Ovis aries: one gene and its partners. The protein of the gene in region 3 interacts with the protein of the main gene of each other region in a biochemical or structural test. Links are inferred from orthologs where the notes say so. Each region holds a gene or a part of one and is shown on either strand. Other genes may lie near its edges. The genes, in order: RNF114, PJA1 and UBE2D3.

Region 1 (3,654 bases), on a different chromosome or scaffold from region 3:
GTGGGCTGGGGAAAACTGACTTGAAGGACATTTCAACTGTTAAAATTTAAATGTGAGCTGCAGATGGGGTATTGGCTTGTATCGATGTGACAATTCCTGAGTGTGAAAATTAAAACACACACAAAATGTGGTTTTCTAAGAAGGTACACTTCTTCCTAGGAGATACGTGTTGCAGTATTTAGGGGCAAAGGATCACGGTATCTGTAATCTACTTTCGAATGGCTAGCACAAAATATGTATACAGAGCATGGTTAAGCGAATACGGTAAAATCTTAATCTGTGAGTCCAGGTGAAGGGTACATTAGAGTTCATTAACTAATCCTGTAACTTTTTGTAAAGTCTGACTTTTCCCCCCATAAGAATTTAAACAACAAAACCCACAAAACAAAAAAACTCAAGTTTCTCTTACCACAGATTTGGTGTCTGTGCTATGGGATAACTTGCAGTGTTCCACAAGTCCTTCTTGATCAAAATTCTTCTCAGGACAGTAAGGACAAGGGAAAGTGTACCGGTTTGGGACACTTCTGGAAGATGAAGGCAGGAAAAAAGAAGAAACTTCTCTGTGGGCACCTTTCCACACAATTTCAACCACTGGCCCCTCCCCAAAGTAGCAAAGTTCACTAAATGCGTTAGGACAGGGATTCTGGTGATCACTTCTCAGTCAGGTCAAATGTTTTGAAAGTAACAGTCTAGCCCGCATTTGAAGCGAACATGCGAGTCCTCCATAACCACCCGAAAACAAAAACTTACACCAGCTTTAGCCAGCCTAACAACTACACCTCTGTTCTCCAAAACTCATGAAGACAGACATCGACCAGAGAGAGTGACAGAACCATTTACCTTGGCTGACGAGACGCGTCCTTGGTGGTGGCCTTCACACCTTCCATGATGTAATTCTGGTATTTGGAACAGGTAGCCACATGTGCCCGGATCTTGGACAGGAAGAACTTAGGCAGGAAGGATCAAAGCCCACAAGTTAGCTGGGATCTTGTACCCAATCCAACACAGTGCCAAAGCAAAGGCAAGATGTAAACTAGACCTATACTGCCCTGGGGAGGCAAAGAACCTCACAAGACTCCTGGCTCCACGGAAGGGACTGAAACTCTGATTTTCTGCAGGGTTTCTATTAGTACCAAGGCGGATGTTTTACTTGAGCAAACCAGGATATCTGCTTCCACTTTAAAATCACTCTTGGAGAGGTTTGTTTCATGATATGCTCTCTGCTCACAGAGACACTCCAAACCCAGTTAAGTGTCTAAAGTTTTCTACCCCAGCACTTAAAATTAGCCTCCTTTCAGCATGCCAAGAACCATGTTCTAAGTGCAGCAGAGACAAGTGATGATTTACATAAAAGGGATAAAGGCCAGTAATCCTAGTTAAATACTATTCTGTCACCAGATTGTGATCAATGAAATTACCAAAAAAAAGAAAAATCAGATTCTGAATTCTACCTAATAAAATCTAGTCTTTGCAAGACAGAAAGACAAAATTTTACTTCAATATCTTGAATTTCTAAATCAAAAGAAACTGGAAGGAAAAATATGTTTCAGTACTTGCGCTCTGGCTTATCATGATGCTTCTGTCTTATCGCTAGCTAAAGAACTTGACTTCAAGCTGCCAGTCAAAGAGCTCCAGGTTAAAGGGGATGGGAACTAGCTCTACTCAGAACTATAGCCACTGTGTACCTGTAGCGCCAAATCCTCTGAAAGGAGGCAGGGTAAAGGGACACCTAGTCCATGCCTGCTCTCACTAAGGTTTAAACTGAAGAGACTGACATGCAAGGGTGTCCGGTAAGTCATGGAGTGAAAGAAGTTTTCAAAAGTGCAAAGAAGTTGTAGAAATACATATTATAGTAGGATCCTATTTTGTAAAAATCCTACATCTGTTTATATAAAACCCACACCTGTGTCAGAGAGCAGGAAAATGTTTTGCAGCCTTCTAAACTGAAGTATTTTTAAAAAGGTAATCTCTGGAGTGGGGAACAAACCTACATTAATTTATATTTTTGTGCTGTCGGGAATTAATGAAATCACAATTATTTAAAACCCAGTAATTCTGTATATATCACTTTTGAAAATAATAGTATTTCTCCTGTGCAGTTATAATTATTTTAAAATAAATATTCTTGACTCTAATACGGTCATACAAAAAAAGAACATAGATGCATTTCAAATACTGGACACCGCTATTATCAAATGTCCTCATACTGACCTTTGTACTACAATTCCTCCTTGCCAAATGCCAAAAGCTGAACAAGTTTTACATCTGTAGTAAAATACATCACAAAATTTCCCCTCAAACTCACTGCAGCAGGTAACTTTGAGGCACTGACTTCATTTTATACTTTAAAAAATGGAGAAATATCACTTTGTCATATTCTAACTAAATTTGTGTATGCTGCTTTGGGAAAAATGGGTCTTTTACAGAAAAAAAACTGGGATAACTGATTTCTATGGTTTTCAAAGCTAAGCTATGTAATATGCTAAACCAATTCTTTAAAAGAAAAAAACAAACCACACAACCAATCAGGTTACCAAAATGCAACAGCAGGGCCACGGCCAGCCAGCATGCACACGTGCTGCTCGTCACTCAGCCACGCTCTAAGTTCCGAAACAAGGCGGCAAGCCTGTGTTACCCATCTTACAGAGGCCGACTGCTCCGCCCCACTCCCACATACATTTTTACGGCAGCCGTGGCAGGAAGTCTCTGTGCTCTCAATCTGCCGCTCGAGCTCCAGGGCTCGGACGCCAGGCGCCAGAGCGCTGCGACACACGCCACAGACAGGCTTCTTCGGCTTCAGACACTCCTGCAGGCATGCAGAGCAAAAGCTAGAACAAGACACACAGAGAACCGGCGTCATGCATCGTGGAGACAAGACGACAAAAATGGATCAACTTTTCAAAATGACATCAATGGATAATGAACTAAAAACTACTCGATCTCTGCTCTCGATTCAGTCCTTCTGGGCAAGAAGAATGGTGGCGGTAGGTAGGCAGTGTTCCTTGCAAAGGACACACAGGTCCAACGACAGAAATGAACGCAAACTACCACGACACATGGCAGAAGGTGCCACGGCACAGTCTTCAGTCCTTAGCCCTGGCCACCGAGGGATCCTGCTGGGCTTTCCCGAGCTTCAGCTTCTCTTCTGTGAAGTGGAGACCACAGTGCCTGCCTCGAGAATCTAGGGAGGATGGGTCACGTACAGTGGACTCTGAGGACAGTGTCTAGCACGTATGAAATGCACCATAAGCAGGAGCAGCCATCAACAGAGGTGAATGCAAAGCGCTATGGAAACACAGTTAAGAGCAGCCAGCTGTAACCCGAGAAAGACAGCAGTGGTTAGACTGCAGACAGCATACACGAAAGAGCTTAGAAGAGTTCAGTGGCAGAGGAGGGGAAGAATATTCCAGGCCCCTAGACTTCTATTTCTTTACATGCATTGTGCATGTTTACCACTCTGCCTCATAAGCCCCAGGTACTTAAAGCAAGGTACCAACCAAACCAAAATCGAGTTTTAGAAAAATAATTCTGGGATTAGCATGGACAATAGAGTTGTCAGTTTTAAATTTTTTTTTTTTTCAGATGAGAAAAGAAACCAAATAGATGGCCAAAGGCAAGAGATCATGAGGGCCTGACTGAGGCAATAAAGAATTC
Region 2 (3,754 bases), on a different chromosome or scaffold from region 3:
ACCTGGAGTAGTCCTCATTATCAGCATTCAGGCTGGTTCCTGAGCTCTCGCTGTCATCCCAACTACGACGAGTGGTGGAAAACGGTGATCGGCTCCTCTTGGTGGTTTGACTGGGGGCTGATCTGTGCATTGGGACTTCAGATGGCGTCTTTCTCTGCCTGGAAATCCTTTCTTGCTGGCTTGTGGATGGCCTGAAACTGACATAAGCATGCCTTCTTCCATACCTCCTGCCTGTATTGGACTGATACCTTCCTGCTGGCTTGGGCCAGATAGGCTTGCTAGATTCCTGACCCATTTGCTCTATTTAGGAGGGTTTCCAACATGGCTGGGGATTGAGTGGGAAGGCTCCTGCTCCCTGCACACACTTTGGAGATGGAAAGGTCAAATCAGTTCAAAATAAAGGAGCAGGGAGATTTATTTTCACTTCAGCAGGTAAAGAAAAAAAAAAAAAAGAATAAGGGGCCTTTAAAATTAGTTTCACTTTCTTCTAAGGCCTGGAATAGCATTCAAGTGACTATCAGGTGTAGACCTGGAACACATTTGCAATGTTGGCAAAATGATTACAAAACTGGGTTTGTAGGAAAGCCAGACTTATGGGAGAATCTGATGGAAGATGGAGGGTGACTGGACGTTCAGAAGGTGGGCAAAACACTGGAATTGTGCCAACATGGGAAGAGGAAAGATGGCTGTGGTTTTTTTATGGGGTGCCTGCATTTTTCTGAGCCCTGTAGACATACAGGAGAAATGCAAATTGGAATAGAGTGGAAAATATAGATCACCATCACTATGTATGTGAGAGTGCCTAGTGTCTGTCAGGAGCAGTAGGACAGGTGGAAGGGGACCAGCAATCATGAAGAGGAAAGACTCCTGTGTTTGTAAAGGGAAAGAGCTGGTGACAGCAGCATGGGAAAAGGCATGACTGTTGGGCAGAATGAGACCCATTGTGGATGTGGCTATGAAAATGACAGGCATGGTGTGGCTTCAGAGGAGAGGGGCATGTGAACATATGGCAGAAAGAGAATGCGCATGTGGTTCTGATGTGTGATGGCTGGAGCTCTAGGGAGGGATGCCTACGTTTATGTGTCTGTGGCAGGCCAGGAGGAGTATAGCGGCATTGAATGGAGTGTCCTCGGGTTTGTGTGTGTGTTCATCAAAATGGGAGGCAACAATCGAGAAGTGTCAGTGTGAACAAATGCATCAATGGGGAGACATCACTGGAGAGGGACATGCATGTGGCAGGTGGGTGGGCACCAGCAATCAAAGAGCATCTGTATTCATGGATGTGGCGACAGGAAGAGGGGATGTTCCAAGATAGGGATTTATGTGAGTGTGAGTATGTGCATGGCAGGGACCAGTGAAGGAGGCTGTCTAGACATATGTAGCAGACAGGGAGCACCTGAGAGGGGTATGGAAAGAGCGTGTGGGTGAGTATGCATGTTAAGTGGTGCAGGGAAAAGGAGCCAACAATCCAAGGATATCCTTATGTGTGTCAGTGGCAGGCAAGGGGTAAGGCCTCACAGAGGGTGTGTGTGTGTGTGTGGTGTGTTGTATGCTCACCAGAGCATGCAGAGGCACAGGGAGGAGGGGAGGTATGTTTGTGGAAGGTGGTGAGAGGCAGGAAAGGCACCGGAGGGTGGGAGGCTGTGTGTCTGTCAGTCATTCTGTGTCTCTCTCAGGGGAAGGCACTGGGGAGTGTGACAATGTCTGAGAGGGTGTCTGTACATGTGTGTCCAAGCATGTAGGGGGGAGGGGACACTCAGGAACCTTGAGTATGGGGGGCAGCGGTAAGACAGCTGCATTGGAAGGTTTTGGGCATGCGTGAGTGCTTGTGTGTGTGTGTGTGTGTGTGTGTGCGCATGCACGCACACGTGCATGTGCGCCCGGGTACACACACCCGTGTATGTGTGGGCATGTGCGTGTGTGTGTCCCTGTGCCTGCACGCAAGACAGTAGGATGGGAGGGGGTCCGCAATGTCATAATGAGAGAGAGGGAAACGTGTATCAGCTCAAATGGTAGATCCAAAAAATGTGGCAGAGAAGGGGGAGAAAGGAAAGGGAGTGTGGGGATACAGTTTTCCCTGGGAATGATTTGTTTTTCTGACAGCATTTCTTTTCCTGGCACAATATATTTGCCTAAAAATCTTCATCCTTTACCATTCATTAAAACAACTGCAAAATGGGGAAAGGCCGCGGGTCGCTCCACAGAGGAGCCAAGAAGGGAGGCAGGAGGAGAGGGGAGGACAGGCATAGAGGGCCGCGACCACCACTCCCCTCTTGAACAGCGACTCAAGCCACCAGAGCGGGGGCCGGGCCATACGTAAGGAGCCAGGGATGGAGGATGAGTCCTAAATCGGGCCAATGGAGGACACAGGCCTCCCTCTTTGGTCAGGTCCCGCGTCCGCCCCACCCCTTCCCAAGGGGTGAGCCCGAAAATCTGCTCGCTAGAGCCCCCCACCCCCACATCCTTACCCTGGTGCCCGGCCACTCGCCCTCATGCTCGGCCACTGGCCCCACCGTCACGTCTGAAGAGATCGAGGAAATAAAGTCTTTCACTCACCCAGTCGCGACCCCGCACGCTCTCAGGAAGAACAGATCTCTCGGACCTCCAACCTCCACGACCGCCAGAGCCGCTGCTCCTGGGGCTCCAGCTCCTCCCCCTCCAGACAGCAGTGGGGCAGGCGCGACTGCGGCGGCGGAAGTGATTGTGGCGTCGCGGCGGCCCGCCCCCTTGATGTGGCGGGGGCGGCAGCTGCTCTCAACAAATCAGGGTGGGCCCGAAAGGATTATTTCGTTTGAAATGATGAAATCGTCAAGGATACAGAAAAGGACAGCGAAAAATGTAACCAACAGCCAGCTGTAACAAATGTTAAACATTTAGTCATATACCCTTCTGTTCTGGGGTTTGCATGGTTGCTGTCCGTGCTGTCTGGTATAAAGTGAAAGCTGCAAATTCCTTCTGATTCATTCCGATATGAAAGGAATCATATTAATATACCCTATCCTATGTTCTATGTTATGACTTGTAGTGGAAGTATCACTGTATTTAGGGTTGTGGTCAGCAGAAAAATTTTTAACCTGGTGGTTGAAGCAAACTGAACTGTTTATCATACAATTTATTGCTGTTAATCGAGCTTCTCTATCCAGAAGAAATGATCAGTCATTGCAGCACAACATAGCTTCACATCCTTATAATTAAATTGCCCTTTAAAATATTATAGCTATGCCTTTTGGATTTACACAATTTTACTGAACTCCAAAGTCTTTTTTATATATTGCGCTTTACATGTATCTCTAATACTTGCATCAAATGTAAGACTTACCTTTGTTCACGACAATAGCAAAGCTTTGTTCTTTACTGGGAATAAAATACATAATAGAAGAACAAGGAGTTTTAGGGGTAATAACAGAATAGAAATAGGATGTATAACTTTCAAACCATTGAAGAAATAGCATGTAGAACAAAGGAAAAAATTCATTCTTACAAAACGCAGAAATGGGATGAGAGGCAACAAGAAAGTATGTTAGAAAGGGAGGGGAGGCAGAAATAAATCCAGGTATATCAGTGTGTACTAAGGATTAACGTCTCCCATAAAAAATGTAAAAGCAAACTCTCAATTTAAGCATTTAGTTTTTAGAAATCCAATTATATGCTGTTTATATGTTTCACCTAAGGCAGCAATAAGAATGGAAAAATATATTTTCCAGTGAAATACCAGCAGAAAGAAAGGAAAGAAAAAGGTAGAGAAGGAAAGATG
Region 3 (3,654 bases):
TCAGAGAGATTCAAATGCACTGTACAAGGACACAAAAGGCTTGATGTCCTGACTTAACAAACGAATGAACAAACAAAACCTGTTTCACTTTGCATTTACCACACTTCTAAATATAAAACTTCTTGTAAAACACTACTAACTATTTCAGGAAATAATCTGGGGAATGCTACATTAAGTATTCAGCCAAAAAATGAGAATGCTTCAAGTTAGCTGCTATCCTCAAATATCTGAAATTCAGTCATAATTAGCAACATTAAAAACTCATTTTGTGTACTAAGGAATGCTAATAAGCCAGCATCAAAAACTGAATATCACTAAAAGGCAGACTTCCTTCTCATTAAGTAGCTGTGTGGTAGGTGATTTTTATTTGTGGGGTAAAAGTGACATAAAAGCCACCAGAGTTGTTTCAAAGAGATGGAGAGATATTCCATCTGGAACATCAATGTGGAAACTAGACAACCTATTAAAAATGCCACACAACAGATCGCTTTTAAAGTAGAAGAGCAGAATTTATCTAGAGACCTTTCCCAAGACTATGCATTTTAGACTATTATTAGATAGGAAACAACCTACCATGATACATGAAAACTTAACTAAAGGTTTCTTAAAAAGATTTTTTATCTAAAAAATAAGAAACACAGGAAAATGAAATCAGAATTTTCCCATAAGAAACCTCAAGTTCAAAAGCTCTTTTAACTTTAGGTGTACCATTTTTGCTAAATGGCAACAAATGAGTGAGATGTACAAGTGGCTTGGGATTGAAAAATATACTAAGAAAGCTATTAAATGCTGCTATTGATATTTGCAAATACTGCCCCCTCCATCTGAATGTTAACTTCTTCCCAAAAAATCTTTAATCAATACTGCTAAGAGCAAAAAGGATGTAACTTCTTATTCCTTTTCCCATCTTTATTAAAAAGCTGGCATTATAAAAATACTTAGGTAAGTCAGCTCAAAAATGAAACTCCTTTAACTATTAGAAAAATCAAAGCCGCTAGTATTTTACCTTTAGAAATAGTTAAAGCAGGAGACCACTGTGATCTTAGAATATCGAGACAAATGCTGCCATTACTGTTAATATTTGGATGATAAATTCTTGTTGTAAATGCAACCTAAAATAAAAAAACAACTTTATTTTTCCCAAATAAAAACAAGCATTGTAAACTTTGGCAAAAAACTATAGCTACACTTAAAATAGTTAAAAATTTTAAAAATCTAATAGCTAAAGTTATACACATAAAAATATCTATATTCTGACCAAGATCCTTCAGGGGCTTCTTTTTAATTAAAATGGAAAATATAACCATGTGGCAAAAATTTTATTATCAGTGATATGGTGGGTTGTTCTGAAGGTAAACTTTGGCCCTACCATAGCATGAGTATCAAAGGAGCAACTTGAAGGGAATTTAGGATTCACTAACAAATTAGAAACTTTCTGAGGTAGACCAAAGCATACAGATTAGCTCATTTAAGGCATCAAGGTACAAAAGCATGTATTAGAATCTCCATTTCCAACTGTACATAAAACACGCATTTGAATATCATAAAAGTATTTTCATTTAAAGGCCAAAATATACTGTAGTCTTAAATCCCAACACAAATAATGGTATATTTTTTAGCAACGTGTGAAAACGCACAATGAAGGTTAGTGTTTGGAACGCTAGTATTTAAGACACTAGAGTTACTGATCCAAATCTGTATACGCACAATAAAGTGAGAAAAATGCTTCCACATGGTATAGTTGAGCCTTGCAACGTAAAGGATAAGGCAATTCTTAACTCCAGTTACAAAGTTCAAATCCAGGTTTAGCTCTTCTTTTAACTAAGGCTAACAGTCAGCATTCAACATCAGTGATTTAATTCAGTATATACATTCAAGCCCCAATTATTCTTATTCATTATACACTCACAGTAGTTTAGCCTTAACTTATGCAGAACCCTAATGTCTAGGAATGTTCTATTCTTCTGAATAAAATACAAATCTTTACTCACAGACTTGGGGGTGGCAGGGAATACTTGCCTTAGGTGGTTTGAAGGGGTAGTCTGTAGGAAAATGAATTGTCAAAAAGAATACACCGCCTTGATATGGGCTGTCATTCTGTGAAAAGAAAAATATGCTTAACTCTGCTATTTAAAATGACTGCTAAATAATTCATGTCAACATTTATTTGCTAAGCATTTCTCTAATATGAAGCAAAATTACCTATTTACACAAAAATAGTCTAAATTATTCCATGATAAAGTTCTTATTAGTGAAAAACCATAATATTTACTATAGAATAAGGAATCATAATTTAGATCCTATTTTACATGCAGTCAAAGAATTTTAGAAAAACTATTCAGAAACACAAGGTTCGAGATCCTAGTTCTCATCAAGTACAGGTAAGAATGAAGTCTACATAATAATGCATCTAATTATCATCTGAAAATAAAGCTTATATCTGTTTGTTGAGCATTTCTTCTAATGACAGTCATATATACACAAACAACTTTGTACCTTAACAGGCTATTCTGGTCACTGGCAAACCAGAAATTTATCCCTTGTAGGTAAACATAACTCCCTTCAATAGGGGAAGTAGAATAGAAACAAAGAAGTTTCTAAGAAGTTTAGTTCCCAATTGGCCCCTCAAAATTCTCATTTAATAAAACCATGACAGCTTTTTCTTCAAAATTACACCACAAAATTCTTTATAGTAAGTCAATACATAAAACTACTAGATTTGGAAAAGCTGGGATGTTTGCTTTGCACACTTGAAACAGAAGATACAAAATTTCAAGCTACAGCAGTACTTTTTCTCCTTAAATGTTTTGCTCACTGTAATTTGAGTATGAAAAACTCCTCAGTAAATAAATAGCATATAACATTAGTATGAAGTAACATTTGGGAGAAACTTACTAGTATTCCACATTTAATTTAACCAATACCAAGAAAAAGATGCAACTGTTGCCATTTCATGAGTAAATGAAATAGGACTTAAACATACCAAAGAATGAAAAGATGATGATGTAGTCAAGGATTTTAAGGTCAAAGAGTTTTTTTAAAAAAATGGAATTGCATAACTGCCTCTGGATATGCAGTCAACCTGGAAATATGTTTGAAAATCTGCAGTAACTGAATTATTGTCAATACCCATTCCTCTCCATTTGAGTGAGGATGTATACAGTGCTATCATGAACCTTGTATCATACTATGCCCACTTCTTATTCGAGGCAAATAACCTTCACAGGGCTGACACTGTAGTACAGCTCATTTAATCCCACCCCTCTGTAAAACTACTAAACATTAATTACTAACTCCATTCTACTTACTAGGTAGTGAAAAGGGACACAGAATAATTTCTCATCTTGCTAAATCTACAGTCTGGTAGACATATAGTGAAATTTTATAGCTATTATAAAGAAATGAAAAAGGGTATATACCTGGGGTTTAAAGGAGAATGGTAAGTATACTGATGATCAAGTTAAAAGATACATATGATTTAATGGGAGAGCTACTATTTAAATGTCTTTCCTACTTCCAAGTCCCTCTGCTTCATAATGCCTACAAAACTCTAATTCAAGAAAATTAAGACTGCAAAATAGCATCTGCTAAGTACAGACAAATCAGACACAAGAATGTGACCCAAATTTATTAAATTAACATATCATTGTTAAA

What was found.
Region 1: the proteins of UBE2D3 (region 3) and RNF114 form a complex in vitro, tested with the Homo sapiens proteins (2 studies listed by BioGRID, with this or other methods). The link is inferred for Ovis aries from reciprocal best matches to the Homo sapiens genes UBE2D3 and RNF114.
Region 2: the proteins of UBE2D3 (region 3) and PJA1 form a complex in vitro, tested with the Homo sapiens proteins (2 studies listed by BioGRID). The link is inferred for Ovis aries from reciprocal best matches to the Homo sapiens genes UBE2D3 and PJA1.

The regions. Positions count from the first base shown.
Region 1 is NC_056066.1:78,028,433-78,032,086, reverse strand, and holds part of RNF114 (E3 ubiquitin-protein ligase RNF114), read right to left. Parts: intron 2,829-3,654; coding exon 2,678-2,828; intron 948-2,677; coding exon 841-947; intron 525-840; coding exon 410-524; intron 1-409. UniProt on the Homo sapiens protein: E3 ubiquitin-protein ligase that promotes the ubiquitination of various substrates. In turn, participates in the regulation of many biological processes including cell cycle, apoptosis, osteoclastogenesis as well as innate or adaptive immunity.
Region 2 is NC_056080.1:62,086,556-62,090,309, forward strand, and holds the start of PJA1 (E3 ubiquitin-protein ligase Praja-1), read right to left. Parts: upstream 2,646-3,754; 5' UTR 2,557-2,645; exon of another isoform or gene 296-2,556; coding exon of another isoform or gene 131-295; coding exon 1-130. UniProt on the Homo sapiens protein: Has E2-dependent E3 ubiquitin-protein ligase activity. Ubiquitinates MAGED1 antigen leading to its subsequent degradation by proteasome. May be involved in protein sorting.
Region 3 is NC_056059.1:22,373,097-22,376,750, reverse strand, and holds part of UBE2D3 (ubiquitin-conjugating enzyme E2 D3), read right to left. Parts: intron 2,098-3,654; coding exon 2,020-2,097; intron 1,113-2,019; coding exon 1,007-1,112; intron 1-1,006. UniProt on the Homo sapiens protein: Accepts ubiquitin from the E1 complex and catalyzes its covalent attachment to other proteins. In vitro catalyzes 'Lys-11'-, as well as 'Lys-48'-linked polyubiquitination.